Linked DNA regions of Oreochromis niloticus. The protein of the gene in region 2 purifies or fractionates together with the protein of the main gene of each other region. This does not show direct contact. Links are inferred from orthologs where the notes say so. Each region holds a gene or a part of one and is shown on either strand. Other genes may lie near its edges.

Region 1 (16,487 bases), on a different chromosome or scaffold from region 2:
GCATTTTTCTGTTGCAGTAAGTTATATCCAATTATTCTACCAGCTGCATCATAGCTAATATCATGAGCTGGGAAAAAAGTAACCAAATAAGTCAGTGAGAGCATGTAACTTTCACATCTTCAGCAGGATTATAACTGTATATTTCCAATTATTTTGAATAGCTGTGCTCTAGATGAAAAACAGACCAAAACCTCTCATCTCATTTTCTCCAGCAGGTTTTGTCCTGTTCTTGTCATCTTTTCATGAAAGAAGCCCTGATGTGAAACTCAACAGGAGCTGGAGGTTTGAAAAGTCCAGTGCACCGCATTAGGAACAATTAGTTTCTGGATTGACATATTGAGGTCTCAAACAGAAATTCAATGAGCAAAGCCAAAAGAGCAGCAGCCTGCAGACAGAAAGCTTTCTGATGATGTATAAGAGAAAGAAACAGTGATGTTTTGCTGGTGTGTGACTTAGAGAATAATGTAAAGTCCTGGAGCTGAAGAGAGTGTCTAGACCAAGTCTGACAGGATTAACCCAAGAGGCAGAAACACAAACATCGTTGCTTTGTAACCATCATTCACAAATATGAATGGGCCTGAATCACTTGTGCAGACACATAGACATTAGACACAAAAAACAACACCTGAAGGGAGAGTCTCACTATGTTGTTGTGGTGCAGTAGCAGTCAGTCCAAATTTCACTTTGATGCATTTTTACCCTCCACTGCACTGACAGCTGACAGCCATCTTTTTGCAGTTTGTACCAGAAAAGTCCCCTCCTAATAATCAACTCTGTATATGTCATTAAACTCTGATGAGTAAAAAAATTTGGACACCAAACATTAATTTGAACTTGTGTTTTGTTTTGTTTTGGCTTTGATTTGATTACATCATTTGTTTCTTGTACTGGCTGTGAGTGTGTGGATGACCAATCATCTGAGTTAATCTTCCTTGATTACAAAACACGTGCTTTACCTATTGTTGAGGGAAAAAAGGGATCAATGCCATCTATGTTAAACACAGTTAACCTACCAGAGTCACCCGGTTGCAGACAGGATCACGTAAGGCATTGATGTAGGGTGTGGCTGGCTGAAATGTGTAATCCTCCAAAAAGGAAGCATCATGGTGTTTAATGGTTGGACCCTTCAGCCCTGTCACTGGTGAAGGCATGGCATCCTAAAGAGATGTGTTAAAATAGAGAGGTGAACCAAAGGAATCAAATGTACCAGACATACAGTACACACTTAAAAAGCAAAGAACAGTGCATTTACAAAGCATGTTAATACCTCATCAAGTCTTTGGAGATGCCTACTGCCAGCGTTAGCAGGTGTGCTAACAGTTTCCACTGGAGTGCTGCGGTGAGGGAGGTGATTGGTCAGGCTGAAGGAAGGTGACAAGAGTCCAGGGACAAACACCTTGCTGACCTATGTGACAACCAAGAAAACAATAGCATGATTCATTACAGTGTTATAAAAAAAAAAAAAAAATCTCAAAACTCAATTGTTGTCTACAGTAAGCAAAGGCAGCTGTGTATCAAGCTTTAGTCTGTACTTACCCTGGTGATTCCTGTATAGAGAACCAAACTACCACAGGCCTCCAGAACTAGCATGGCATCTATACTCTGAGGAGCAAAGTTTCATTGTCAGAAACACGTTGAATATTACTCAGGAAAAAAAAAAACTCCTGCTGTAATTTCCCCAGTTGTCAACAACTGAATACAAAGAAAATTATCAAATATTCACACAAGATGGTAGAACCTGTAAATGTGCATACTTAAAAAAATAACTTAAAAGTTGAAATGATAATGAATAAATATAAATCACTGGTTTCTGCTCCAAAATTCAAGCATCCAACTCCATAGTTTTCCTGGGAGACTTCAGGTCACATGGTAGTTCTACCATCCAGATGATGGAGAAAACTAAAAGTTTCAGGAAAGAATGACCTACCTGATCTAAACTAGAAAAAATATTTTGCTATTGGACTTTTTTGATAGGCATGGACCGGACATAACAACCACTATGATCAATAATTACAGTTTTTAATTTTTTTTTTTAAAGTTTTAATTACAGTTTTTCACGAAATCCTCTGCGGAAGAGATTTATCTCATATATATATACACACACACACATTAGTTCCTGTAGGTAGCAAGGAAAACCTTAATTATATCTTGCAAAACATGTTATCATCCGGATAAGATTAAAAAAAAAAAAAAATACAGGAAGGCCTCCTACACATTGCTTACAACTTTACACCACCCATGCAACAATTTGTTAAGGTGGAAGAGCCTGCTAAGGACTATTTTGCAGCACAGTACAGCACCATAAACTTGATATTGACCCTGACTCTAATGAATACTGTGTTTTCTTCCGTTTTAACTTCTGCACTTTCCCTTTCAACTCTCCAATGATAGAATTTTATAATGTACCTGCAGAGGCTCTGCATCTTTAGCAGAGATGGTTGTGACAGAGGGGAAGATGAGCTGTGATGTATCATTGCTCTCAATAAACTTCACACATCTGCAGAAAATAAAATGATCACGGAAAAAAAAAGTTAACTCGTGAACTCACATTACACAACAAATTAGGGTGGAGAAAGATGTTTGGACATGTGCAGAGATGTGTGTATGTTTGTTTACCTGAGCTGTTGGTGAGATTCCACCAGGAAACACAGATAGTGATTCTCACAGAGATCAGAGGTCAGGAATACTTTAGATGCCTGGCTGCTCATTTCCCTGCAAATGGTAAAAAGAGATGCAAACTGATGTCAAACAGCAGAATTTGCTAAATCTGAACAGCGTCAAGCTACAGAAAGAACTGTATTACATAGAATACAAATGATGTCTTTAAAAAAAGTTGTGTATTATGCAAACAAGAAGAACAAGTTGCTCACAAACTTTGATCTAAAGGCTAATGAGCAACTTTGCAAGAACATTCGAGTTTTCACTGCATATTGCAGTGAAGTCAGAGTCCAATGCTGCCAATTACCTGTTGGAGCCAGCAGTGACCGCCTCACTCCACAGCTGCTCCATGCAGAGGTCAGGTATGATAGGTTCCATCTCTGGGACCAACACTGTCTCATTGATAGTACTGTTGGGAGAAGCTAACAAGCCATGGTGCCCCCTGGGGGATGGGCTGTGCAAAGACGTGTTGAAACGAGCCACACCTGAAAAGGATGGAGCTGCCATGCCTGGAGAGTGGGCACGGCTGAGACAGGGGGACAGTGGATAAGCATTTTTCAGTTTTTAACTATTATGGGGGTTTTTTTTACCTGTTGTCACAAAGTGAATGAGTACGTGCTTTCAGAAAAGAGTATGGCCCTCTTTGGCTCAGTTAACCTCACCTGAGGGCGGCCATGTTGGATATACTTGGAGAATGAACTCGAGAGTGAATTCCTGGTGAGGATGTGACAATCCTGCTCTGGTGGCTGTGCAAAGCACTGTAGTGGAGGGGAGAGCTGGAACCAACAGCACTGCAGGAAGAAAAACAGTAACCAGGTCAGATGTTGACGTTTTGGTCTCTAAGTTTTTAACTTGTAATTATTTTTAAGGCGAAATAATCCATTAAGTATCACTTTATTGTTCTGTCTGTATGACACAGCAGTAACCCCAATAACTGAGGAGCTATCTTTAGACAGTGGGACTTTTGCTTTAGAAACTACTCAGAAATGTAACGAGACGGTAACTAATTCCTGCCCGTCTGCTAATCACTTGATTAGGCTGCTTCACTTTCAGTACCTTGTTCCAGTCCCAAGACTATGCCCACTTGGACCAGTGCCACCAGGGGAGTCAAGACGGGAGACATTCCGCAAATGAGAAGTGAGAAAGCCTGAAGCCATCAGACCCAACGGTGTCCCGACCGGTTCTGCCGGACACCGCAGGACTGTAGAGCGCTCCTGATAGGGTTAAAAGGCTTTAGTTTAGGAAGAACTTAGTTGGTTTTAGTGTGTTTGTGTGTATTCATGATCACTCACATCATGTGTGACTTTGCGCAGAGTCCAGACAGAGTGTATTCCTTGAACTGTGTCATATGATACAACTATAGATGGCTGACAGCAGGTGAACACTATCTTCATGGCGGAGTCAGACACATACTGCACACGGGAGCCTTCAAACAGGCCTGGAAAAAACAAATATGTACAAATTCAGGAAAAATATGAAATAAGTTCACAAGATCTCATTCTGAGAAGATCAGTGTCTCATACCTGCAGGTTTACATACAACTGGTGCGATCTCATCTAAAGGATGCAGCATGCTGAACACTGTGGGCAGAGGTTCCCTGTGTAGGGGGGGAGGGAAAAAAAAAGAAAAAAAAAAAAAGAGCTCAATCCCTTGGTTATATACTTCCCGCACTGTTTTATGTTATGGTCAGTGTAGGTTTGTGAGGCTGTTATCATTCTAGAAATGTTTGTCACTACATTATTTCACATGGATGTATTGATTAATCGAAACATGTGTCGTGTACTTGTGCAAGCATGTGATTGGAAGTATAAAGTGTTAGCATGTACCCAGGGGGGCTGAATTGTGCATCATTTGCTGTGTTTTTACGTTCCATAAGAAGTCCAAACTTTGTTGCCCACACATGTGACACCTTGAAAAGAAAAGACAGTACAGACATGAAATATTTTTAACAACAGATGTCTGGTATCAACAATTATAAAAACACTGATGGCAGCCGGTGGTACTCCCCAGCCTCCTAGTAGAAGTATGCAGTTCCAAATTTTACATCGCCTTGTTCTCATGAGGTCAAGGTTTCTGAGATTCAAACTAGTACAAGATTTTTAGTAGATACACCTATGGTATAATTTTCAAAATCCTATGTGACTTCATTCTTAAATTATTGCATTCACAAACTTGGGTGTCCATGCTGCCCCCTTAAATGTTAAAATGTTCAATATTTTGATCTGCATATAAAAGGATACAAAAAACTGCACTCTGTTTACACAGATCCATCACGACCAGTGAATAATAAAATTCATAGCTAGGTTAAATTTTGTCCAACAATCATGAATAAAGTCTCTGTCAGATATTTATTTTAAGGCTAGATGCGCCACTTGTTTTCTTTGCTTTCCTAGAGTAGTTTAATACAGCCATGTATAAATTAATATTGAAAAACTGACAATATTCACAAAACTTTGTTTTTTACATCCCAACCAATTGGGTTCTAATTCAGCTTTTAAAATTCTTATTTTAAAAAACGGTTACTTGTACTATTTTTAAATTATCTTAAATAACTTTCTATTGAAACTAATACTAATGATATTCTCTGCCACTTAAAAACAGCACTGAAAGGTTAAGAAAAGTGCAACACCCTGAGAGCTTCAGTGTCAGGGACACCACAGCAGTGGGGATTCTTCCTGTCACAAAGGCTCTCACAAGGTGTTTCTTGCCTTTCTCACAACACCAACCCACGGTTTACTTGCCTCTTTATTAAATTCAATTATTTAGTAAGAGTGTGTGTCCAACCTTTCCCGTAAGAAAATATAAAATGCTTTATCACGAACTCCACATGCCTCAAGTTTAAAAACAAAACAAAACAAAACAAAACTCAAATGTTGAAAACACATCCCTAAATCAAATTATATTTTGTTGGTGTGCAACAGACTACTGAGTGAAAGACACTCGTAAATACACATAGCTATGCACACACATAAACTCACACACACTTACTTCCCACTGTCAGTGATGCAAATTTTCTATCATTACTGGTTAACCAGAAAATGGTTACCCAATAATGGCTCTGAGAAATATCCCTAATCCAAATGTGGTGGGTTGTGTGGTTTTAGTTCAGCTGCGAGGTGGGGTAATGTTTCAGAGACTTATGCATCCACTAATCAAATTATCCTTTTATTCAGCAGCGTTCTGGAACATGGGAGACACACAAAGAAGCCTGCAGTTACTGCTGTATGTCAGCGTGCATCTGTGTTGAGGTGGAAGTTTAGGTAGTGGAGGTCCAACTGAGTCACACAGATTTAAAAGAATTTTGTGGCTCATGTGTAGACCCATCTCCTTCTCTGGATATAAACATTCCCCATTGCTCTATACCTCACCTGGAAGGGCAGTGGTGAGATGAAGTCTTTTCCAGTCATGGTGTGAACATTAACACAGCTACTCTGGACAATACACACTGTGAGCTCCACTTCTTCCTCTGCAAAACATTAAATACATTCTGTGTTTTGTTCATCAGGACTGCAATATGAATAAGCAAAAAACTGCACAAAAAGACACAGTACCATCATTCTTCTTGTGAGGAGCAGCAAAGTTGCACCACAAGGCCTGGAGATAATAAAAAAAAAACTGTTTCAAGTCTTAGAGCACAGAATCCTGACAATCATCGCGGACGATATACAATCCATATAGTAAAGCAAAAGCCATACTGATTCCTGACAGAAAACAACATGGTCCCTCATTTGCCCTTAGAAATGAGAATGGACAAGCACAATTATGAGAGACCATATAGTACACAAAACAATCAGAAACAGACCTGCTGCACTGGGCTGTCAACAGTGAAGGCCTTATATACGCTGGAAGCTTGAGCCCTACTACCCTGGCTCCAGACAACCACGTTTCCTGCTGCATAGAGTTCTTCTTCAAATTCCATATCTTCCTCTTTGACTCCCTTGCAGCCCTTCCTAAGCTGCCAAAATTCCTGCCATTCAAATCACATCAACACAAAAACCAAATCAAAACCACATTTGAGCTTAACAACACATGAAGTACTGCCTTCATGAAAGCAGTGCAGCAGTGTTGTAACAATTGCATTGACTATATTACTGTAAAAAATAAATAAAAAATAAGTAAAGATTTAAAGTAATTAAAGATATATTAATGAAAAAAAATTAAATCCTTTAGGTGTATTCCATTTACCATTTTTCTTCTTATATTTTTACTGTTTAATACACACTAGTTCTTCTGAAGAGCAGGTCAGGAGAACAATTCAGGCTATCCATTAAATAAGACTGTTAGATGGCCCACTCCTATTATGAAACATTATAGATCATAATACTAGACACTCTCACCCTCTCTCTCTCCTGCAGACTGACTTCCTGCAGGGACCCCACCAGGCCAGCAGCACCATCTGATGCCCACAGCTCGGAGGCAGGCTGGAGCTCTCTGAGCTGCAGGTTGAAGGCGTTTGGATGGTTCCTGCAGTGCTCGCGGCCAAACGGGACAAATGACTGCAATTCCCCTGCGGCAATCATCGTGGCTGTCTCTTCATACACGACTTCCGACATGAGTTTCAGATATCAGCATTATTTCTGGGAAGAACAGAGTTTGAGGTATAAATGACAGTATTTAAAAGCAAGCAAGACTTTTTTCCAGACACAATACAACTGAAGAGCATCACCAATTTGCGCCATACCAGTCCGTTTAGCTGTAGTATTCATATCGATTATTTAACACGATAAAAATAAAGTATGGATCCTCGAGACAAGTTTACTGTAGTATTTAAGAACCAAGAGTTTCACATAAACTGTTCTTTCATTTTCTCTTTATAACATTAATGATGAGATTACTTTTATCAGTAGGCTATCTGTAAAGTACAGTAAATACCAGTGAGTATAAGATGAGGTGTAAATAAACTTCTTCTGCGTAAATAACTTTATTTCATTTACTTGACTGTAGGACAGATTGCATTACTGGTGGCTAAATAATGTTCTCTATTAACACATCGACAACTTAGCTGGCTGAAGCAGGCTCACTGGACCTTTACTATTACTGAAACTATCCCGTTAGAGGGGTCAACATAGTAGGGGATAGAAATCTCATTAACAATTTCCACAGTACTTCCACCGTAGCAAGTTTCTGTTGACTTTGATAGACGCGACATGCTAGAAGTTAGCTGGAAGTTCTTACCTCAAAAACTCCCACAAACAAAATTCGGTACTCTACAGACACTAAGACGCTGTAAATTACATAAATATACAACTTGACAGTCAGCTATGAGTCTGCATGCTGACACTAAACACCATTGAAACGGCCCGACTAGCATGCTAGCTACCATTAGCTGCAGCTAGCTTTAAGCTTACAGGGAGACATTTAGCCGCTAACCTGATAATAAGGAATAGTCTGGCCCTTGTCGCGGAGTCCTTATCTTTCCTTTCAATGCGTCTCGCTTGAGCACAACGTTGTCACCCTACAAACATAAAGACAAGTGGCAAATTCCGTATTCGCCTATAGCAGGTTTTCAAATGAGCGCGGACATCTTTGCTGTCCCGACATCCCATTCCTCCACGAGTCAGCCAATCAGCAGCGAGGAGGCGATATGCTGACAGCTGATAGGCTGCCTTCGTCAGCGCTATGGACACTACTAAGAAAGACTGTGATGAGCAGGATGTTTTATATAAGTAATTCAGCCACAAATTAAAAATATAATATAATTAATATAAAATATAATTTAAAAAATAAAATACCAACAGTATTTGTAGAAAATCTAGGTATATATAGATATTTGAAGATGAAAAATAAATAAATAAAACGAAACTCATTTGTTTATGTCTTTCTTTAGGGACATTTACTATTAGAGACCATTGGTAAATTTGCACTTGAGGCTTCCAGTAAAGTGAAAGCTTTCGGAAAGGAAAGCAAGAGGCTCAGAGATGTCGAGGATATAAATAATACTGCACAATAGGCTACTTCAATGCAACCAACACCCTTACCTCTTTAAACTGTATTTATTATAACATTATTTAGTATAGTTCCAACAGCACCCCCCCCCCTCCCCCCACTCAATGTGCAATATCATCCCGCCCCACACACACACACACACTCAATGTGCAATATCATCCCACCCCCCCACACACACCACACTCAATGTGCAATATCACTGATCACACTGCACTGTTAGATGGCATGTATGTGTATGTATATAGATGTAAGCGTGTATGTGGAAATATGTGTGTGTATGCATGTACGGATGCAAATATATATATATACATATATGTGTGTATGTGGGTGTATGTTTGCAGGTGTATGTATAACTTGTGCATATCTTTCTTGTGTAAATGTAAATTTGTCTGTTATTGTGTAAATACTTACGCTATTGTGTACTCCACACACATGGAGAGATGCCAAACTGCCTTTCACTGTTCTTGTAACAGTGACAATAAAAGGCTATTCTATTCTATTCTATTCTATTCTATTCTATTCTATTCTAATACTACAAATATTATGTCTTGTAGCAATAAAACGTTTTTGAATATCTATTAAATTTATTTAAAGCTGTAATTTAATTATGTATTACCCCCATATTTCTGCTGTTCAACCCTTCTATATGTGAGGGCCAGTCTATCACAACAAATTGGGTTTAAAAGGAGGATGGCTTTAAAGAAAGATAATCTAAAATATTTTTAGACGGCGAATAAATTTTACCAAGGTCTAGTAGAGAACTGTGAATAATGCAAAGTCACTCTGTTTAAATATACTGTGACCATAATAGTTCCACTGTAAGTGTTCTAGAGTGACTATAGTGGTTTGACAACAACCATGATTTTTGAGGATGAAATCCTTTGCACTTAAAATAATGAAATATTTATATGTAATTTCTTGTATGTTTATGATACTTTTAAAAAATAGCCAGCAACAGTAACTATCTGGCTGACAGATATTTCAGTTTATCAAACAGATCAGATGTATTTTTCAGTATTTAATTAATAATAATTAATTAATTAATTAATTAACTTTTTATTTGTATGCTAAATAAAATACATAAAACAAAACTGAAAAAAAATTGAAAATTATTTTAATTAACTGATAACCAAAATGAGGTTTGGATCCAAAAACCATCTCAAACACTGATGTTTGACTTTCAGACTTGATGATGTTAAACTTGGAGGATATTAATAAACAGAGCAGAGAAAATAACTGTCACCTCAATTAGGAGTAAATATGCTGATATTTAATGGGGGAAGTAGTGAGTGATTAACAGCACGTCTTCAAAGTCACACAGATATTTAGACTCAATATTCAAAGAAAACTGTAATTTTTATGTTACATTTAAAAGAATATCACATCTGTTTAAATGTTTAGCTTCTTTTATTAATTTTCTAATCACATTTTAAACAAGTTTTGCTATGTTTGAAAAGCTATGGTTTACATCATTACTGTAGTTATTTATAAGAAAAAGAAAACATTTAGGCCTACTCCAATATTATTAAGAGCAGTTATGTCATGAATTTCATCCTTCTGCCTCAAAGAAATCAAAGTCTGCACAACGCAGTCATGAGAAAATACACTGATGTAGGAAGCTGGGAGTGGCTCGGTGCTCATGGATGTGATGGATGTCGCAGTGCAACAAGGTATGATCTGAATGAGTTAACTCTCACAAATGATATCACTGCAGCTCACTGGGGAGTATGTGTCTGTCAGGGAAGGAAAGGCAGATAAATAAAGTGAGAGAATGTTATTCCATCTCTGACTAACAGTTGTTGTCTTTTCCCAGTCTATTGTGTATTTCACATAATTGCCTGAAAATAACACCAATTTTTGGCTCTAAATTGAATTCTCATCATCCTCTCCTGCATGCTTTCACTAGCACTAAATGACTTCTGCCCCAAATTATTGCCTCATTCTGAGTATAATTGACTGATCTGTATCAGTGAATACTCTCCAGATGCTGATCGCAAAAACCTTGAGTTTCACATTCTAGGTTTACTTTGTAAAGCATGAAAACACTCACATTTGCATGAGAAAACATTAATTATACTGAAATAAAAACAAATACTGCCAACATTGAAAAATCTTTTGGACTTCTCGGCATCTTCATATTTTCTACAGTTTCTCTGTCCTGTTCAGTTATGTAGCAAGCAGGATTTGGACCAAAATACAGAACATGGGGTACGAGAGTCAACTCAAACACTCTGTTATGTTGCTGGTAACTCACAGAACAAACCTAAACAGGGGCAGAAAACACTGGAACACAATGCAGGGAGACACACAACAAATGAGGGAGGACATGACAAAGAACTAAGGAAAACTCAGGGCATAAATACACATAAGAGGTAGTTAGGGAGCAAAGAAACAGCCACAGAATCTAACTGACATGACAAGTGACTAGCAAAATAAAAGATAAAGTAACTAAACACTGAGACAATGACTAGCATACAAAATTGACACTAACAGGAAAGCTAAGAAAATCACAAGAGACTAAATCAAATAACCCTAAGCAGAATGCTAGTTGAAAATAGACATTAACTGAAACTTGAGGACTAAATTATAACCAAGAATCGAAAAACTCGAGCACATAAGCTATCATTCCAAGAACACAGGAAATAATAGATGAGAAAAAAAACTCTTAACTAAGAACAAAGAATAACAAACTTAAAACACTGGGTCAAATACTGAGGACCATGGCACCCTCTTGTTAAACAAGCTTAGACTCATAAGCATGTTTCTAACACTAAAAGAACGCTATCTAAATAGCAGTCCACATCCTTTCTCCTCTTCTTCTTCCATGGCAGGTTGTTGCAGTTGTTGTTGCCTGTAAAATGTTTACAGGTAGGTCCTTAAATACATGGACAAAAATGCTATTTTTTGTAATTTTGCATTTTTTACACCACCACGCGGATTTTAAATCGGACAATCAAGATGTAAAGAAAGTTCAGATTCAGCTTTAATTCATTACAGTGGATTTAATAAATCTTATATTGTCGTATGAAATGTTTAGGATTTTCAGATTCTCAAAAGTAACTGGACAATAATTAATTAGCAAAAATGTAGTAATTACTAATTCCTAATTTCTAACTAATACAATATTTTTTAGGGAGGAAAAAGTTTTTAGCTCTCAAGGATCATCTATTCATACATCAACACACAAAATTTCATAACTTCAACTGATAATTTTGTTGTCATAAACAAAGTTTCCTCATTTAGAAAACGACAAGGACCATTAAATTCCATGGCATTATAAATAAGAATGTGTTTTTCATATATCAGCTTGACTTATTTGGCCCTAAGAAAAACTATATAAACAGTAAAAGTTGTAAAAACACAGTTGATTTATGTAAATTCTACTGCAGCGCAACCTTCTAAGGTGTTGCTGAGTACAAAAGAACAAAAAGAATTATTGCACAAGCTGTTATTATATTGGATAAAATTGGATTTTTTTCATGCTGCCTTTCCATGAAAATGAAGACTTTACAACACTATATCTCAACATATAACGCTCATATAACCATGACAGACACCTCATTACACTCTTTTAGCTGTGGCAGATTGGCTCTTTGTGGTGAGGTCATCTTGCCATAGATGCTCAGACTTCATTACTGAGGGGCTGTGGTGACGCACTGAAGCCGGCTGGGGAGGGACACTGATAAAGTCGCACTCTAGTAGTTGAGAGAAATTGCTTAAATGTTCCAAGTGAGCAGCAAAGAGAGAATCTGAGTAGACTGATGGCTCTTTGTAACATTTCACTCCATCACAGCTGTTGCTCAGTTTGACAAATACATCAGAAGCACCAATATAATCGAATGTATTTCAGCAACCTGTGTTAAAAGTAAAAATTTGGTTTCACTTTATGGTCATTTTCAAGCCTCTCAGTAGTGGATATGTTATATTGAAGGGTGTCTAAAGCTCCGTACTTTTAAGTTTTACCTTCAGTATCTTCAGTCACTTCTCATGCAAGGTTATTATAAATAAAATGCAGGCGAACCACTTCCATTGTAAGGTTAGATTTTTTTTTTTTTTAAGGTTAGATTTGACTAAATAATGCTTAAGTATAAGTAACACTGTAAATTTTGATAAATTGGCTTCACTTAAAAAAAAAACAATGCAAATTTAATTCCCCTGAAAAATAATTAATGCCAATTTCAGAGGGATGAGTAATATAAATGTGTTAATTTTGAGTGTTTAGTTTTCATTAGTATTTCTTTTGTGTTTAAAAGTTAAACTTGTATATGACAGTGTAATAGTACTGGATGATTTATAAATACGTGGAAATGTTTGTGAGAGTGTAAACTGGTAAGTTACAAGGGCTGTACATCTCAGACTTTCAGTACAGCTCTGTGTCATGCCACTTACAGAAATACTCTGACGAACCTTCAGTTGTGGGAAATGTTGGTGACAGGCAGGAGGGGAAGGGCAGAGTACTTTTATAGCCCATTACTCCTCCTTAGTATGTGATTTAGAAATAGAGACATACATGTTTTTCTTGATAAAAAAAGCTTATACATAATGTGTTCATGGTGTCATTTAAAAAGTTGAAGCAAGATTAACTACGAAGTCTCAGTAGATTAATAAACCATTAAGATGAATATATTAATGTATATATACATATACAATGTACTGTGCAAAAGTTTTAGGCAGGTGTAAATTGCTTTAAACAAAGAATGCTTTCATAAATATAAATGATTGTTTATTGGCCCCAAATGTATTCATTTTGCAGGACAATGACCCCAAACATACAGCCAAAGTCATTAAGAACTATCTTAATCATAAAGAAGAGTGATGGTATGGCCCCCACAGAGCCCTGATCTCAACATCATCGAGTGTGTCTGGGATTACATTAGGAGACAGCCTACATCCACAGAAGATCTGTGGTTAGTTCTCCAAGATGTTTGGAACAACCTACCAGACAAGTTCCTTCAAAAACTGTGTGCAAGTGTGTGTAGAAGAATTGATGCTGTTTTGAAGGCAAAGGGTGGTAACACCCTGATTTGACTTAGATTTCTCTTTTGTTTATTCACTGCATTTTGTTCATTTGTTTGTGAGTGTGTTAAAAGTTTTATAAATACTTAATTCATATCATAATTCATGTTTCTTTTGGGAGGCTGCTAGTTTTGAGAGTATTATTTTGAGGAGTGATCTTAAACTAATCATTTGCTTCTGAATATAAGACCAGAGAAATGGTGACTGACTTCATAGAGAAAAGACTACACAACATGTCCAGGGACAGGATGTTCATGTGGTGGAGGAGTACAAGTACCACACTAACAGCAGAATGAACTGAAAGACGAACACAGAAGCTGTGTACAAAAAGGGAGCGAGCAGGTTCTGTTTCCTAAGGAAGCTGAGATCACTCAGTGTGTGCAACACAATGATTGAGATTCACAGTTTTGGTGAGCACAGTGTGTAGGGAGCAGCATCAGACCTGGTGACTCCAACAGACCCAACTGATTAGGAAGGCTGGCTCTGTGATGGCAGAAAATTAGACACTTTTAAAGATGTAATATAGAAGAGGTCCATTAATAAACTGTTACCCATCATGGATAATCCTAACCAACGTCTGCATCATTTTGCTACAACTTTGAAACTGTTGAATATCATTTACTCTCTATGTTCTATGGTCACCATATTGGTGCAAATCATTTCCAGTGTGGCTGCAGATTTAGGCTTTTCTTTATGAAACAAAAACATCATTTATTCTATGCATTTGACTCCTAATGAGTCCCCAAGAAAGAAACTTTAAAGTCTCAAAAAAGAGAGAGCTGGGAGAGAGTAAGCAAACTGGGGGAAGTCAGCTGTTTCTTTCAGAAGATAAGCAGAGCACAGCTAACATGTTAAGCTATTAGAAGTTGTGAGCCAGTGTCACATGTGACACTGTATCTACAAAAGTGATCCAGCACAACTTAATTAACAGCCAGAGAGAGTGAAGCAACAGGCCCTTCTAATGATATGACACAGGGATGAGCTTATGTACTGGCAAATAGAATAGAATAGAATAATCCTTTAATTGTCCCACAAGGAGAAATTTGGTTGTAACAGCAGCCAAAAAGACATATATACAAACAAACAGTACACAGGACACAGAACAGAAACATACACAATTTTTCTTACATATTTACATTAAGGACAATGGTTACTATATACAGAGAGTACTGTACAGTTATTAAATTAAATATAAATAACTACAGATAAGAGGCAAACCAGGTTGTAGTGCGAATCGGTTAATTAACTTAGTGCAGTTACAGTGCTGATGTAAACATCTATGTTTGTTGGGAGCAGTTCTGATTGTACAGTCTGACAGCTGCAGGGAGGAAGGATCTGCGGAAACGCTCCTTCATGCATCTAGGATGCAGCAGTCTGTCACTGAAGGAGCTCTGCAGTTCAGCAACATTTACATGCAAGTTATTCCAAGTTATTCCAAGTTATTCCAAGGAACCATTTATATCAATAACTGTTTTCAGTTAGCATCAGTGCCTATATACTGGTGACCATTTTGATGTAATACTAAATCACCCAGTATATTTGGGGTGGCCATAGCTCAGGTGGTAGAGCGACTCACTGGAAGGTTGGTGGTTCGATCCCAGGCTCCTCCAGCCCACATGCCAAATATCCTTGGGCAAGATACTGACCCCATGTTGCCATCGGAGTGTGAATGCTAGATAGAAGCACTAAAAACCTTAGATAAATCCTTAGAAATGATTGGGTGAATGCACGAGTTGTATAAAGCCAGGTAAACCAGTCCGTTATACCATATATCCAAAGGCATTAGACTGCTGTATAACTTTGGTGTTTGGCAATATCAGAAATATGCTAAAACGAATTAGATATCATTTACCCCATTTAATCTGAAAATCTAATCTGTATTATAGTTTTGACACATATTGAAACTTTCATAGATGTTATTTTTATTTATATAGAGAGATATGACTAAATAAAAGAAGGGGACCTGGAGGTATTGCTTATATACAGAATTATTAGACCGATAACAATTTATTTTTCAAAAGTATTTTCCAAGTGCTCTTAAACAGAGCAAGGGTTTTTCAACACAGCCTTTACAAACATCCTAATTTTGTTTTGGATGCTTAAATTATTTAATTTAATTTATTTTTTTATGTTAGTTTGGACACAGAAGTAAAATTATTTAGCAAAAAAAATGAAAACTAACAGGATCAAAATCATGTTAATAACTAGTCATCCTTTTTGCCTGCAGTAATTTTCTGATGTTTTCAAGAAGTCTTACACACGTCTCTTAAACAGTCTCATTCCCACTTCTTTGGCTAGTCTCTGAAGCTTTCCAGATTTGATAGTTTTCTGACTTTGGCCTTCAGTTCACCCTACAAATTGTTAGTGTGTGGGTGAGCTGAATATCCCAATGCGATAGAAGTCAGGGCCAGTTTGCTCTGAATCCCCCTGCTGGCTGCCTGAGGTTTACTTTTAGAATCTTCACATATTCTTCTTTCTTAATGATTCCTTCTACGTTGATGAGATTCCCAGTTCCACTCTCAAAGCTGCTAAAGCATATCCCCACCACCATGTCCGACTGTGGGGATGGTGTTCTTTGAGTCATATGCCTCTCCCTTCTCTTTTCAAACATAAGAAGCTGTCATGGTCCTCCATTCCTCCTAGACATCCCTGCCAGTTCTCTCTCTCTCTGTGTGTGTGTGTGTGTGAGTGTGTGTGTGTGTGTGTGTGTGTGTGTGTGGATAATCATGCCTTACCTTACGGTGGGGTCTTCCTGGATCTCTGCCCTTCTCTTGGCACACCTGCGAGAACCTGTTCATCATCAGTTAATCTGCTGGCAGCCTACTTAAGCTGGAGACAAACCTTCATCCTTTGCCTGACTGTTGCAC
Region 2 (16,769 bases):
TAATGAAAGGATAAAGAAGGACATACAGCTTCTGGATGAAGTATAGAGATGATGTGATTTTATGTGATGTAGTGTTGCAGCTTAGTAGTAATAGTATCCAGTGAAAGATGATATGCGTCCAACAAAACCACTGATGCAAGAAATAAATGCTCCCACCTCCTCTGATGTGTCGGCCCTCTGCTTTAGAATCATCCATTTTCTCATCCTTAAAAAGAAAACACAAGAAAGCACACAACAGGAAACGGTGAGATGGTAATCACGCATAAAAGCGCCTTTAAAACTGAAATAGCAACGCGGTTCCACCGTGCCCTCGATGTCAGAGTCTTCCTCAGATGGACTCAGGTACTCCTTCCTTTTCCTCTTCCTCATGGGTTTCAAGTGATCGGGGTTGAGGGAGACTCTCCCGCCTGCCGGCACCTTCTCCACGCCAACGCTCCTCCTGAGGCGCGGGGAACGAAAGATGAGCTTATGCGCATGGAGCGAGGCGCGTAAACATAAAGGCTGAGCAGCGGGGCACATACTTGTCAGTGATGGGGTCTCTGCGGAGCTCCTCTGTGTAGGTCCTCTGAGCTCTGGGATTATGGTTCTGTTGTCCTGGATCAACCTGGACTTCGGCTTTGACCGGCACCAACCTCTCTGGCTCCAGGGCCACGCCCCTCCCAGAGCCGGCAGGAGCCGACGCATCTGTCACAGACAGGGCTGCAGGTGAAAACACGCCCGTCTGCATCTTTATTGAATATTCTTTGACTTTTCAAAGTTTCTCAGCTGGATTTTAAATGTTTACAAAGAAATCTGCAGCTGCAACCTCTTCACTTGTAAAGAGAAGCTCTGCTACAGCTGATGTAATTACCACTCATTTATGCTTAATACACACACACACACACACAGATGACTGAGCCCATGCTGTTTAGTACTTCAAATAAAAGTGCAGGCTGTTTAAAGCAGCATGACACGTGTAACACTACAACTAGTTTTACTCACTGTTAGATTGGAAATATCACACATGGTATAAAAGCTGCTTTGGTTATGAAATATGTGTTAAAATATCACAAACACATGTGGCTAAGTAGTATAAAAATCTGTTATCGTGGAGGTGACCGGTTCCAAACTGTTTTCTGCTTTGTGTGTGCAAAATGTAAATGATTCACCAGAGTGCAGCATTTGTGTGTCTGTGCCTGATATTACTATGACCTTATGTAACCACGAGTCTACCTGGCTTGTCTGGAACTCTTTCTGCGTCAGTGGATCTCCCAGAAGTCCCTGCTGCAGGTTCAGCGGTGCTGCTGGCGGTGCCCGGGGTGATCAGTGTGCTCAGAGCTCCTAAGTCACTCACACAGAACTACAAGACAAATACACACACACACACACGCATCAGTGCACCATCTGTCAAAATGTGTCCGTGTCTTTACAAACTGTATGCTGCTTTAAAATATACATATACATATATATATATATATATATGTATATATATATATATATTATCGTTGCTGCTTTCTTGTCTGTTCTGTCTCACAGCCTTTAAAGAGTAAAGAAAACTAAATATGATGATTTTAAAGATTTGTATTCTTATTTTGATTAGCATATCCTTTTTTCTTTTTTAAATCTGCAATAACGAGGATCACATTTTCTTTAGGTGGTTCAGCTTTGTCGATGTGCTCTCCTTAAAACTACTCAAATCAAGTTCTTTCTCAGCAGACTGTTAAATTACAACTTTGTTCACATCAGCAGTTAGGCGCTCAGTTTGCTCACTGCTGGCGTATAAAAAATGCTTGAATGAAGACATGTAAAATAATAATAATAAAATTCTAAGCTGATTTTTATACATGTGAGAAGTTTTTCAGGACTTTGTCAAAAAAGAAATAAAAACAACTTTCAATGACTTTTTTTAAACCACAGCGAAGCTTAATATCACTTTACCTTGAGGTTGCTACTGGGCAGGATGGCCATCCCCTCCTTCAACTCTAGGACATGGACAATGCTACAAGCTCCGCCCACCTGTGCTGTCAGTGCAGGCGTGGCCATCTCATTGGCTCTGCTTCCTTTACCTGGGTTACCCACTGCAACAGCTGGAGTCACCTCCACCTTCTGATGGGCAGGAGCTGAGGAAAAAGATGCACTTGGAATAATAAAGCACAAAGTGATGTAGTTCATTGTCCTCTGCTTTACTCACTATAAATGGTAAAGGAAAAACAGCGCTCTGTCGCCGTGACAACCAGGCAAATAGTATTTGTTTGTTTCTATAGATTTACAGACAGGCTTGGTTATCAGCACGATTCACAAAACTGTTAAACAGCTGCTAATATCATCACTCAGTTTTCACACTCAGTTTTACTGCACATTTCTCTGACATGAGAAACTGCAACAGAAATCAGTATCTGCTGCTTATTAGTGTTATATTATTGTTATTAGTGATTAACACGTTTGTAAAAGATCCCAGGGGCACAGACCCGGCCTCAGAGAGGGTCACAAGCTTATGTGCTTCTAATGCCAAGTCGGATAAATGGGAGGATTATGTCGGGAAATAAATTCTGTCTGATTTTAATTTTTACTTCAGTTCATTAAAGTGTTTTTTCCCCCCAAAACTTTGTTATGGTTTTTATTTCAGTTTTAAGTGACAACAACAGTCTTGGTTTCTCTAATACAGAGCAGAGATTTTGGAAGCAATCAAACTGTTTTCTTGATGTTGTTGTTATTTTGGACAAACACAGTTTTAATTACCTGATTTACTCTTTTGTTAATAAAATTAAAAAAGTAAAAAACTTCCACAGCTTTGGTGAGCTAGAGCTAACGCCTCAGAAAGTGTTGCTTTGTCCGGCCAACACATCAAAACTTAAAGGTTTTCACAAACAAACATGATAATATTGAACATGGAAACTCTGAATTAAAAATTATGCATTCAAAATTATTGTATAATTATGAACAGGCATTGGAAGATTTGTCAGGATTTGCACATGCAGTGAGGAGTGGCTGAGTGAACTCTATGCACGACCGGTCAAAAGTTTGAACACACCTTCTTATTTAATGTTTTTTCTTTATTTTCATGACTATTTAAATTGTAGATTCTCACTGAAGGGATCAAAACTAAGAATGAACACATATGGAGTTATGTAGTAAACAAAAACATGTGAAATAACTCATGTTTTATATTTTAGATTCTTCGTAATAGCTACCCTTTGCTTCTATTACTGCTTTGCATACTCTTGGCCTTCTCTCAATGATTTTCATGAAATGATTTTCCAATAGTTTTGAAGAAGTTCCCAGATATGCTCAGCATCTTGTTGGTCATTTTGCCTTCACTCTGTGGTCCATCTCATCCCAAACCATCTCGACTGGGTTTAGGTCATGTGACTGTGGAGGCCAGGCCATCTGGCGCAGCACTCATCACTCTCCTTCTTGGTCAAATAGCCCTTACACAGCCTGGAGGTGTGTTTGGGGTCATTGTCCTGTTAAAAATAAATGATGGTCCAACTAAATGCAAACCGTATGGGATGGCATGTTGGTGCAAGATGCTGTGGTAGCCATGCTGGTTCAGTGTGCCTTCAATTTTAAATAAATCCCCAACAGTGTCACCAGCAAAGCACCCCCACACCATCACACCTCCTCCTCCATGCTTCACGGTGGGAACCATGCATGTAGAGACCAACTGTTCACCTTTTCTACGTCGCACAAAGACACGGCGGGTGGAACCAAAGATCTTAAATTTGGACAATGACACCAAAGCACAGATTTCCACTGGTCTAATGTGTTTGTGCTAATTTTGATAATTGTGTTTCTTGGCCCAAACAAATCTCTTCTGCTTGTTGTTGTTTTTGCTTGTATTGGTTTCTTAGCAGCTATTTGACCATAAAGGCCTGATTCGCAAAGTCTCCTCTGAACAGTTGATGTACAGATATGTCTCCTACTGGAACTCTGTGCGGCATTTATCTGGGCTCTAATCTGGGTTGCTGTTAACTTGCGATTTCTGAGGCTGGTCGGATGAATTTATCCTCAGCAGCAGAGGTAACTCTTGGTCTTCCTTTCCTGGAACGGTCCTCATGTTAGCCAGTTTCATCGTAGCGCTTGATGGTTTTTGCAGCTGCACTGCATTCAAGGTTTAGCTATTTTCCGGACTGTCTGACCTTCAGTTCTTAAAGTAATGAGAAGGTGTGTCCAAACTTTTGACTGGTAGTGGATGTAGCATCTTTAACAGTCCTTAAACCATAAGCCGGCCCGATTCCAGGAAGCAGGCTTAGTAAACAACTCTGAATTTGTTAAACCTAAATTGAAGGAAACACTGGTTTTCTTCCCCTGAACGAGAGGTAACTTCAACTCTGAGTAGTTACCATGGTTACCAAGTTTCTCTCTCTGACTCCTCCCCTCTCGTTATGCCCGAACTGACATGCAGTTTAATTTCTCATTCATAAAGTCGCTGTCAAACTGCACAACGGGGCAAATTCATTCACAGAAGTGGGCATGCTTAGTTCACTGTTTTCTGTACCTAACATGACCACTTTTATAATCGATCAGTAATCAACATGAAGATGGAGACAGCGATTACATCTTAGACTTATTGTCAGTTCAGATTTAAATCTATAGTCTCGGTCTTTCTAAAGCTGAATCTCTATGGACAGTAATGCAGCTGTCACACTGTCAGTCAGTTTGCCCACACTTTAAACATTTGCTGCAGCAATCACTGTTTAAGTTATCAATCATGTGTTGTGCTGTAATCAGTCACACTGATGGAAAAATGACTGTCACGGCTGGGTCTTGGGGATGTTGAGAATATTTGATTAAGGATGAGGCTAAAAAGACTAAAACTGAGTTCAATGTTGTTTTACAGTGACGTTTAAGGATGCGCTCAGATAAGCATCATGGAATCAGACTGGATCAGGTCTGGATCCGGCTCATCTCCACCAGATCCACTCATAGCGGCTTAATTTGTCCCGATACAATCTGTATTCCTTATTGAAAGTGCCTCACCCTCCCAGAATTACACTAAAATATCTGTAAACAGCTCTAGAAAAGCTGAGACATTTCTAAAAACATGTTTGTCTATGGTAACATGCAAAGTCTTACTATCAGGCAACCAGTAACTGAGTAAAACATCTCTACTGTTGCCGTAAGAGAGCCATCATCTATCACTGAAGGCTGATATTCCATAAAATTATGAACGCTTACACTGGGGAACATTAAAGCACAGTTTTTCCTCTAAATCTAATTAAAAACTTTTATCCAGTAATGGCAGACATAATGAAATCCTCTGTGAAAAATGAAATTCTTACAGCCCATCAGTACATTAAATTTTTACTGAATAATTATTGGAAAAATAATGTAATGGTTATAAACTGCTGCAATAACTGTTTTTTTACTGAACCAAAACTGACTTGAGGGCAGACTGTCTGTTGCCGTATCGGTTACTAATCTCACAGGTCCATCAGTAAAGTGTGGCTCGTCTGTTTCTCCAGATTCTTATCTTCCCGGACGTCTCCTAGATTTTGTCCCTGTCAGGTTACAGCTCAATCATTAGGGTTAAAAAATCAGAACTCCAGCTTCATCTAATAAAAAGTTGGCTAAATAATCACCACAGTCAATACAGAGAAGTTAGATATTTCATATCGAACATTTATATTGTGTATGATGATGATCGAACGGCCCGTGGCTCAATAAAATTACTCTTTTCCGCACTTCTAAACGGACTAAAACGAGGCTCTGCTCCTTGTTTACCTGTTGCCATGGTGAATCTGCTCTCCTAAAGTAAAAGAGGTAAATTTTTACATTTTAATTTAAATGTATCCAGCTAATGATTTTATTAGACTGAGATTTAAAGCGCATGACTTGTTCAATGAAAAGAAAAGATGACTTTTTAATTAACATTAATTTTCATTGGATGTTTTTTAATCACAAATGCAGATTTTTCATCGATAAGCCTGACCTGAATTACTGAAAGAATGATCTGAAGCCGTTTAGTAAGTCTATGAAGGTTTTCTGGAAATGAAGACTCAGAGTTGATTTTTAAACTCACAGCTTTGTGAACAGGGACCTAATAAGATGAGTTGCATCTTTTGTGTATATATTTCTATGTGATGTTATTAAGTCAACCATTAAAACGACCCTTGTTTTGTAATGTGATGCCTGTGAATGAGGTTAAACATTGCAGGTGTAAATTCTGAACTATGACCTTACACTTTGCCTGGTAAATGATTACACTGCTGGTTACTTAAAGGCTCACTTCTCAATTCGTTTTTCAGTCTAATGAGGTCAGAAGACACTATCAGTGTTTTCCCCAACAGTGCTTTAGTAGAGTATGTATCTGTGAACATCCTTACATATGAGTTCACCTGGTAGCAGGAGAGCAGTGGTGGTGTGGGGCTGAGGCCGAGCCTTCTTGGCCACACCATCACCCCCGCAGATGAGGATTGTCTCTGTGGGAGACGAAGATGACGGATCCATAGGGGTGCAGTCCGGTTCTTTGGCTGGAGCCTCCATGTTCACTTTGGCACTCATGACGGCGTCCCAGTGTGTTGTGCTGGAGCACTGGGAGACACAGCATGAGAAATAACACAAAGTAATGCTGTCTGGTTATAGGGTAACAGCTTTAACATTGTGTGTTAAAGATTTATGGAGGAGACTGTACCCAAAACCTGAGGAGGGAGTGCCACAGTATGGACGCCAGAGGAATCCCGCCAATTTAAGCTTTCATTTTTATGTTGTTTGTTGTTTTTAAATAAATATATTTCTCTATTGGAATATGTCCGATTTAGAGGCATATACAAAATTCAAATCTTAAATTATTATGTTATTTTCTGCTATCTTGAAACATCTTTTTAATTTACCACATTAGCACCGCTTTTATCATTCAATAAAATACTATGTATCCAAAGTACAGCACAGAGTTTAAATTTTACTTTAAAAATGTAACACAATTTAACCTACAAAAAAAAAAAAAAAATCTTCCTCTAAAAGTATTTCCAATAAGGCAAAACAGCAATGAACTTTTAAAAACCATGCATTCCTTCCAATAATAAAAGAATAATGGTGACACACCAATATTTACGCGCAAGCTCCCAAGTCTACACACACACACACACACACCGACAGAGACTAAAATACAGCATTTCAGTTAAAATGGCGGAGGATCTGAAATCCTTGAGGCAAAAAATGTGCTAAAGCAGAGGCTCAATTCCTGTGAAAATCCCATTTAATGAAAAAAGCAACCTTATCGCCCATTCCGGCAATATCTTTAATGAATGAGCAACATTTTCTCCTCATAACAGCGTTAAGTGTGCCGGGTATTTTTGAAACCTTGGCGCAACTGCTTTAAATTTAAAATTTGTATTTAAACAGGCTACGTCAAAGATCCGCTAGCCATTATCAAATTTATATATTAAAGATGATAAGCTTTGTGCTTGATTACATCTCTGACGCCAAAAACGGTTTACCTCGGTGAGGGGAGAAAAAAAAAAATAAACAACAGACTGGCGGGTTTCTTTTTAAACCCAGTGTGACTAAAAGATGCTTCTGTCTTCTATAATTAGAGGAAAGTTCTAAAAATTGATTTTAATTCGTGTTTTCGGTTTTCAGGAACTGAAATTTGGCTTACCAGCTCTGATCTCCTGCGGCTCCGGGGCTCCGATTGCGCATGCGCGGGTCCACAGTACAGTCACCGCTCGTTGGCTATAATATAACGCCAAAAGAAAGACTTCCAGTGCGTCGCTCCACTTTCAGTAATGGTCGATAGGTGAAAAAAATAATAACAGTGCTCCCTCGATTAGCTGCAAAACTGTAAAATAGCTGCTGTAACGATTTTTATTTGGCATGCAAGTGAAATGTTCGCGCTTACAACCATAAATACGCGCTCTGCTCATTTCCTCCACAACTGCAGCCTATAATGAGCGAGCGTTTATTATATAATTAGCAGGATATAGGTCATGTCAATACTGCAGTCAAGGTTTTCATAATCCAGACAAAACAACGTCAGGCACCAAGTTTATTTTTTTAATGAAGATCTTTTATTGAACATAGCATAAAAAAGGACTTTTTCCCCCATTGGATCTCAGATGTTAGGGGGGGGTGAAAAAAAGTCAGTTCCACAAGATGGAGAGTGTGGCTGCATTCAGCGAGTCTGATGTTTACAGACTCACAGGAGATCTGAACACATGGACCTTTCCAGTACAAAAACAGTGCTAGCTGCACACTTTAAATAAGGCTGTCCAAAACCCTTCAGTCTGTTCTGAAGCTGGGGAGGGAAAACAACATTACCAGGGAAGCAATCGGCGCAATGGAAGAATCTGAGGAAAAACAGGACAATGCAAAGGAGTCTCTAGTCAAACTGAAAATCAAAAACTAAAATAAAGGCCCTTAATAGATCACCTGCTTAATGTTACAAACCTCCTCCCCCCAAAAAGCTACAAAAAGATGAAAGGGACCAATTGCTTTGTGCTGATTACTCTATGTACAAGTAGTTAAAATAATCCATCTACAATGCAAGTTATTCAAACGTAAGTCCAAACCCTCATTAGCTTTAAATTAAGCAGCTCTGCACTACAAGCTCTTACATCCTGAATACTCATTGTTTAACACGAAGACAAACTGATTCGTCGAAGAACGCGACTGAATGCGCAGGTCAACAACTCAAATGCTCCAGTCCTGGAGCCTACTCTTCAACAATCATGCGAGCTGAATGAGTACAACACAAAATAATTACCAAGCAAAGATGGATGCTTCAGACATAAGAGGCCTGGAGACAAGGACAGCAAACTGTCAGACTAACAACCAAAACAAACTGCTGCAAACTGAATAAAAGAACATTTAGACAACTTAATATTCACTGACCAAACAAACAACTTTAAATGAAAGCAGAACAGTAAGAAACCTAAACTTTACCAAATCAGGCACCAGTTACAGAGACATTAACTTCCTCAGGCTATAGTTGTATAGCCCAGCACCCATTATTTTCATTAATCCAAAATTCTAAATTTTATTTTATTTTTTTTTATTTTTTTAGGGAGCAGATAATCTGAAACAAGTCCAAAAAGCATTGGCTGTATTGTGGTTGATGGTCTAATAAACTCCTGCTTTAACAAGTTAAAAGACAAATGTACATTTGAAGGGGGGGGCCTCAGAAGCATAAACCAGTTATTAAACATTGCTCAGTATGTACAGCATAATGATCAAGCTAAACAATAAGAAAACCTCTCCCCTCTCTACACCCACTAATCCTGAGAAGCTGATCTAGACCGTGAGCGAGACCTGGAGCGGGACTTTGAACGGGACTTTGAACGGGACTTGGAGGGAGACTTGGATCGGGACTTGGAGCGAGACTTGGAGCGAGAGGCTGAGCGCTTTTCTCTGGACTGGGATCGGCACTCTTCCTCCTGTGGAGACGGGGAGCGAGAGGCAGATTTGGCCACATGCTCTTCTTTTCCATTCTCTACTGGAGAGGGTGAGCGGCTGCGGGACTTCTTCTCAGCAGACCGTTCCTTTGATCGGCTACGAGAATCCCTCTCCGACTTTACCTTAGAGCGGCTCTTTGAACGAGACTTGGACTTGTGCTCGGCTGAGCGAGACCGAGATTTGCGAGAGCGTGAACGAGATTTGGATTTGTTGGATCTGTTGGATCTAGAACGAGACCTGCGAGTGCGAGAACGTGATTTGCGTTCTCCTGACTTGGAGCGAGACTTTCTCTCAGACCTGGAGCGGGAATGATGCCGTCTCTTATTGCTGCGGGAACGAGACCTGTAGGAACAGAAGCAAAGCTCAGTACAGCCCCACCTTACATGACAGCAATGTCCTGGACAAAATGTCATACTGAACAAAGAACTTATCAATACCAATAATTTAATTCATATCTCTATGTTACTGTTCCAAGATTACATTGATCCTAACCTCGAGTGGGATCTGGAGCGACTCTTTGAGCTCCTGCTCCTGCTTCTCCTGCTGCGGGAGCGCCGACGACTGCGAGATCTGAAGATGACAGAGCATGATTCAGAAAAAATTACATCAGTTTCTTGTTAAATAAACAAAATCTTTGAGCAACAAAATGTACAAAAGGAAGGCTCATCTTAAAAAGCAGTCAGCAGTAAGAAATTTGCTCACCTGGAGCGGCTGCCAGAGTAAGACCGACGTCTGCGAGGACGATCCTCCACCAGGCGAATTTTCCGCCCGTTGATGTCAGTACCATCCAGCTTGTCCAGAGCCCTCTTCATGTCGGAATACGTCCGGAACTCAATCACTCCCTCATTAGTGCGTTCCTTGTGGGCATCTGCATAGGTCACCTCTCCTGCCTGACGCATGAAGTCCTGGTGGACGGGAAGAGGATGAGGTGCCGAGTATTGATTTCAAACCAAGCACTTATACAATACATTTTCCCTTTATCTGAAGATTCCCCTCTCTTATTTTCAAATATTTACCTTGAGGTCCTGCCAACTACAGCGGCTGGATAAGTTCTCGACAATGAGGCGGTACTCTGTGCGGACTGGCGGCCCATATTTGTCCCTGCCAGAGCGGCTGCGGCTGCTGTAACCGCTACCTTTAAAAAAAACAACAGCACACACAAATAGTTAGAAACCACTAAACCAAACAAGATTCAAAGTACTACTGCTCTGGGCTATCAAATGCACTCAAGGCAGTGAGTTTCCAGATTATTGTCCTTGGGGGGTTTTAAATTTGTACTAACAGTCAAAGGGGTTTCTTTGATCTCATTTTCAAACAGCTTCAGTTAAGTGCTCTACAAGCAACTGCATGGGCTCTTTAAAGTTTGTATTTTTCAGCATTTGGAAGCTGTTTTCTGCTGCAAAGAACACCACTGCATCTGTTTCCGGCAATACAAAAAACACAAATCAGCATCTGTCTTACTCCAGTACATCACTCTGTGATGCTATAGCTGCATAAAACAAATGGACAGTGATGTTCTTTCAAGACCTCTGTATCCTGTAACACAAACAGAAAGGAGGCATCCACAAAGGCTGCAGTCAGGGACACTGTTCAAATTGATTACGGTGTTAAAAAACACACCAATCTTTTGAAAATTGGTATCTTTTTATTTAACCGGATGTCAGTCTGAAATTCTTTTTTTCCAGTTTTGAACTTACAACATTTCTTTAGATTGTAAGGTCTGTAAAGGTGCCGATCCACTTATGTTTGCTGTCAACATAAAAACCAATGGCAATCCTCACCATCACCCCTGGTCTATTGGCAAAAGGCTGCTGTCATCATGGCTTCCGGTTAGGTCAGCCAAGGATCAAGGGGGGGCAAAGGTCACACACACATTGTAAGGTGAAAGCCAAGGCCAAACGGGACAGGCAGTCATCTTAGCCAGTCATCTTTAGCCTCAATGGACTCTCAGCCTCAGCCCGCAACTGGACTCTTTCAAATTGAAACATCAAGGACTTTTGTTAATGTTGAATATAAAAAAAAATATATTTATATATATATAGACCAAAGTTAAAACACATTTCACATGAAAATGTTAGTCTACTCCTAATGACTACACTAACTAGGTAGCTATGCATGTCGTGATTTGTGTTCAGCTTGTTTTTTCCCCCTCTGGTGCAAAAAAGAAAGGACACCTTCACATGGCTCACCCAAATGACAGTTATGGTTCAAGTGAATTTTACAATGTATGATAAGAAAACTATGTTATTTAACAACACTAAACTCTAGACTCAAAACTGCTCTTTAAATCTCGCAGATTGTTGCCCCTTGCAATCAAATAAAGCAGTATCAAATAGCATGTAGCTCGTGATGATAATCACTATGGAGGAGCAAAAACCTGCAGGTCACTACCCCTTGGGTGACAGACTGAGAACTGTTCAGCAGGGTGATATCAAACCAAACTGGACTCCCTGATTTATAAGAATGAAGATAAATCATGGTTGCATGTGATGAAGTTACTGCATGATATAATGGACAACATGAACAATAGCTCTACTGACAGTCCTACAACTCTGCATGCAACCTGCGCCTTAAAGAGCTACCCACGCGGCTGGCTATAACCCATGAGGGGTAGCTGGAAAAACCTGATCGAGGGCCAGCTGAGTATCTGTAAACCTATGCGGCAAGTCTGTTAAAATTAGCGTCACCATGAATCATTCAAACAGCTGTCTGTGCAGTCCACGTCGACACCTCACCCCAAGGGGAAGGGGAAGAGAGGGTATCTTGTAATAGACTGCACTTACTGCGCCCACCACCCCAGTAACCCCCACCGTAGCCATCTCGGTCTCGTCGCGGGCCCCGGGCATGCTCGACGATCACCCGCTCCCCACACAGCTCCTTCCCGTTTAGCTCGTAAACGGCGTCGTCGGCGTCCCTATTATCTTCGAACTCCACGAATCCATACCTGCAAAAAGAAAGGGTTTAAATGCATGAGTATGAAATACTAAAAACCACATGAAATTAGTTTAAGCAATGCGTTCCCGTTTACTTCCACGAATCAACTAGCTAATTAGCGTTAGCATACGTTAGCACAGCGACGTGCACAGTATAAGGACGCCATGTTGGCCACGCGACATTTGCTAAACGTGCATGAATGAAGTTAAAGAAACAAAACCTTTTAGATTTACAAGGACAATGCTAAATGTCAGACATCGACATATTGTCCTTTAGAATCAAACTTAACTTGTAAAAAAATATAAACACATATATATATATATATATCTGCGTAAGAGTGAAATGCCCCGCGAGTCCGTGCGTCGTTCGCATGAATGGCTAGCTTTAATGCTAGCTACGACATGCTAGTTGGACTCTCGCTTACAAAATTCCGCCGAAAACTTACCCGTTTTTTAAATCAATCTCCATTAGCTTCCCATAGCCGCTGAAAAAACGCTGAATATCTTTTTCGCGGACATGATAGCTTAGTCGTCCGATATAAACTCGAGGCATTGTGGTTCGCCTACAGTGGTTCTCGACTGTTCCTTTCCACTGCTCCGAAATTGCTGAATGCTACTACCGTTAGCTCTGCGCCAGCAACCGGTCGGCTGTTTCGCCAAATCCAGCCAATAAGCGTGAAGCTAACGATGATCAATTTCCGGAACAGAACTTCAAATTAAAAGCTACCGTTTATCACACAAAACCGCAGACAGTACGCACAGGAGAGGAAAATACTAGTTAAATCCTATGTAAAATCTACCCCAGTCATTTCCAACTAGAGGCATTTTGTAACTGTAGTTTGCATTGGGTACATACAGAGATCATCTTAACTAATTCAAAAAAGGAAAAAAAAAACAAAGAAAAAGAAAACACCTCCAGTCACAAAAACTAGGTAGTTAAAAAAACATACATCTAAACAGTAAATTGTTGGAATAGTAAAGTCTCTATTGCAATAAAGTTGACTTTAAAAATTCCCGTTAGCAGCCAATCACAGAACCAGCCTTCAGTTTATTCACTCCGTTGGTATTACCATTTCTGATGCATATGGCCCACAGCTGCGTGACGGATTATCTCTATCATTTATAATTTCTGTTTAAAGCCTCTGTGCTGGCCTTTCATGTGGTTACCCAGGTAGTCATAGTCCTCCACCACATCAGCAGTCTGTCCCAGAATACACACGGTTCGTGTCCTTCTGAAAGTCAGTCACCAACTTCTTTGGTCTTATTCACATTCAGAAGTGGATACTTCCTCAATGACCACTCCACAAATTCATTAACTTTTGCTCTGAATGCCTATTTCCTCCTCATCACTTAAACATCCAGCTGCTGCAGAATCAGAGTATTTCTTTAGGCGACATCACCTGGAGTTGCACTGATTGAAAGTCTGAGTTGTACAAAGTGAAGCAGAACTGAGACAGCATAGCCTCAATGGTTTGATAACTATTGGATAAATTGGCGAACTATATCTATAGCATCCATATTCTGACTCCAAATAGTATAAGTGCAAAGTTTGTGAATTTAACTTAAACATCCATGGTTTGGCTGTATAAAATTGTTGAAACACATTTATAATATGGCAAGTGGTGGAGATTAATGAGTACTTATCTGATAGGCTATGTGCTTAAGTCTGGCTGGTTATGACAGATTTATGTGACTTATAAATCAGTGATTGATGTGTTCGCCTGCATACTGGTAGTTTAAGCACAGCTAAAAAAACAACAACTATTATATAATGATATAGTGACATTTGGGCCTGCAGAGGAAACCTAACAATGGCACCCAGTTTCCATATTATCCTGCAGTCAGGTTCCAAATAAATCTGCAACTCGACATGTTATTACCGATCTCAAGGACATTGTCTCCAGTTACCATGGTTATCAGCTGCTCATGTTTTAACCTTGTGGGTCTGTGTTTGTATCATTACAGCAAACCGTGGGCCTCACAAGGACCGTCAATCACATCTGAGCAAGTCACACAAATAAGACTTAAATATTTTAATGGGACTCGAAAAAAATGGCCATATCTATAAACGGGTGAAGCGAGGGGGGCATAATGACGAGAGCCAAAGCCGTTCACTGATCATTACGACCTTTTTCCATTGCGACAGAGTGAAAACATCATAACGTCATTACCATGACTGACAATTACTAAACAGGCACTGTCATTAATGCAAGCAGAGAAAGTAGTGGAGAGAGAGAGTAGAATATTTTATTTTTGTAAAAACCAGGTTTTAAAATGATTCCAGCGAGACCTTTATATTCACATTCCTCTCAAAACAATTAAGATTGATACTTATTGATAGACTCTGGTGTAAATTTCTTTAACCACACTGCAAAATAGGAACCTGAAGGAGGAGACGATCTGAGGTGCCTGCTCAGAAGTTGTTTATTATTACTTTATTATTTTAGTGACTGGCGTTAGCTCATGAATCCTGCTCATCGGAGAGAGAAAAAAAAAGAGAAAAATTGAATCTTTATTTTCAAATTGACTTCATCAAACCTCAAGTGGCTGACAAAATTTTCTAATCAAATAAGTACACAAACTGCTCATCAGTGCCACAAAAGCACTCACAAACATACTGTATAATAATAATTTCTACTCGTCTCATAAACAGCCTCCTTTATTAGAGTACTCTTAATGTTGCTCTCCCCTTCATCAGCCCCCAAGTCTTCTGGTTTTGTGTCTCCTGCTACAAAATGATCAAAAGCAGGTCCTGTGTTAGGAGCCTCACACACTAGTTTCAGTGACATGTTCCTGTATGTACTCCAGCCCCGTGACTGATTTGTCTCTATAAGCTTGAGTAGAAAATCCTAGACTGACAGTTTTTTGTATTATCATTTAGGACAAGAGCAGAAACATGAACACACCCTTTAGTTGAGTTCAAGAAAAAAAACTATTCCTAGGCTCTGTTACTGTAGATGAACTTACCTTATCTACAATTTGGCTAATCTGAAGAAATATTAATGTCTGGTGCATGTAAAGTGGGAGAAAATAAACAAAAAGTAAACTTCAAGCTGTGTTAAATCAAGGTTTTTTTTGGAGGAATCAAGAATCACAGCAAATAGGAAACAGAAAAAAAACAAACAAACAAAAAAAAAAAACCCCTAAGAGCTGGAGGGTCCACCAACCAAACAAATCAAATGCTTTCAGCAGTGTATGTGTCAAACATCTGTTGTTTAACAGGTGCCTGAACCCTATCTGTCATCTTTAGACACTCTCACTCCCTGTCAGGTCAGGCCGTGACACAACCAAAATGACAGCCAAACCCTCCCGCAGTTCGATTCAGAGAGTCCTTTTAGCAGATCAAGCGGGCGCCCGACCCCAGCTTCGGCCCTTCTGATGGGGAAAGATCGGACCGTGAGAAGAGGTGGGGGGAGCCCAGTTTTAATGGCCTTTAGTTAGCTTTGGCGCGGAGCTGCGCCCTCTTGCCCGTCACAGCCTGGAAACCGGTCTTGATGCTGGCAACGGAGCAGCGGGAGTGGCACGTCTCACACTGCAGGAAATAGAGACGAGTGTCCTTCTGCAGGATGGTCTCCGGTGAGCGGCAGGTGTGACACGTCACATATTCCTCTGCAGGGGTGAGAACAGTCCACTCAACATTACTGTTCACAAGCAGGGACGGTTTAATTTTACCCCATCAATGTAACTTCACTGTAAAGAACATGTCATTCCTACTTACTGATATATCTTCTCAACACATTTTCTATCTGTTTCTGTTGAAATCTGCCTTTGATCACAAGCTGGTTATTTCCGTCAATGGAGCCGCTGTTAACAGAGAAAAACGCAAATTAAACTTTTACTTAAAGTGAACACACAAAAACAAAACGTGCCACAAACTTAGCTTGAGAACTGACACCACTTAAAATACAAAAAGCGTACCTCGTTCCCAGCTCAGCCAATAGAAAAGCGAGGAGATGTTTAGGCTGACGATGCAACCTGTGATTAATCGCATGAAAAAAACATAAAAATATCAGTTTGTGAATCACACATACTACAAGTGTCACTGAGATGCATCTGTCAGTAAATATAAAAAGCTACACGAGGCTCACAGTTTGCAGATGTCTGTGAAATTGACAAAGGAGGTTTTCTTGGTTCCCACTCGGACCACCTGGGGAGGCTTCATCACAAACTTCCTCTTCTCCCCAGCCACCATGTCGGGGTTCTTCTCCCTCATTATGTTGAAGACTCTGTTCAGGAGCTGGAACAGAGACAATACTGTGACTTTGTTTTTTTTGTCTATGTTCATAAAGTTTTCAATACAGAATATAAAAGGACAGAAGTTCAGAGCCCTCTGGGATCAGCTGAGAATAAAAAAAATAAATAAAAAGGTAAGCAGTGTGTAAATCTGTGCTGTTTATAAACCCTGTTCTCAAACTGGTAAATCCACCTTTATAATTTTACAAACCGTTTCACTCATTTCCTCAT

What was found.
Region 1: the proteins of l3mbtl1 (region 2) and anapc1 purify together in Homo sapiens (affinity purification with mass spectrometry; 4 studies listed by BioGRID and IntAct, counting the BioPlex papers as one, with this or other methods). This does not show direct contact. The link is inferred for Oreochromis niloticus from reciprocal best matches to the Homo sapiens genes L3MBTL1 and ANAPC1.

What each region holds. Positions count from the first base shown.
Region 1 is NC_031978.2:10,093,997-10,110,483, forward strand, and holds the start of anapc1 (anaphase-promoting complex subunit 1), read right to left. Parts: upstream 8,222-16,487; 5' UTR 8,029-8,221; intron 7,236-8,028; 5' UTR 7,212-7,235; coding exon 6,996-7,211; intron 6,626-6,995; coding exon 6,461-6,625; intron 6,253-6,460; coding exon 6,210-6,252; intron 6,125-6,209; coding exon 6,027-6,124; intron 4,568-6,026; coding exon 4,485-4,567; intron 4,256-4,484; coding exon 4,182-4,255; intron 4,097-4,181; coding exon 3,951-4,096; intron 3,873-3,950; coding exon 3,715-3,872; intron 3,450-3,714; coding exon 3,321-3,449; intron 3,185-3,320; coding exon 2,966-3,184; intron 2,713-2,965; coding exon 2,617-2,712; intron 2,498-2,616; coding exon 2,407-2,497; intron 1,603-2,406; coding exon 1,537-1,602; intron 1,406-1,536; coding exon 1,268-1,405; intron 1,158-1,267; coding exon 1,014-1,157; intron 1-1,013. UniProt on the Homo sapiens protein: Component of the anaphase promoting complex/cyclosome (APC/C), a cell cycle-regulated E3 ubiquitin ligase that controls progression through mitosis and the G1 phase of the cell cycle.
Region 2 is NC_031984.2:24,630,569-24,647,337, reverse strand, and holds the start of l3mbtl1 (lethal(3)malignant brain tumor-like protein 1), read right to left. Parts: upstream 7,840-16,769; 5' UTR 7,580-7,839; intron 6,514-7,579; 5' UTR 6,484-6,513; coding exon 6,306-6,483; intron 2,100-6,305; coding exon 1,918-2,099; intron 1,340-1,917; coding exon 1,213-1,339; intron 700-1,212; coding exon 522-699; intron 440-521; coding exon 304-439; intron 206-303; coding exon 157-205; intron 1-156. Other genes in the region: serine/arginine-rich splicing factor 6, read right to left, coding at 9,192-9,714, 9,865-9,942, 10,075-10,277, 10,389-10,507, 12,156-12,316, 12,752-12,858; eif2s2 (eukaryotic translation initiation factor 2 subunit 2), read right to left, coding at 15,739-15,914, 16,024-16,109, 16,224-16,280, 16,394-16,542. UniProt on the Homo sapiens protein: Polycomb group (PcG) protein that specifically recognizes and binds mono- and dimethyllysine residues on target proteins, thereby acting as a 'reader' of a network of post-translational modifications.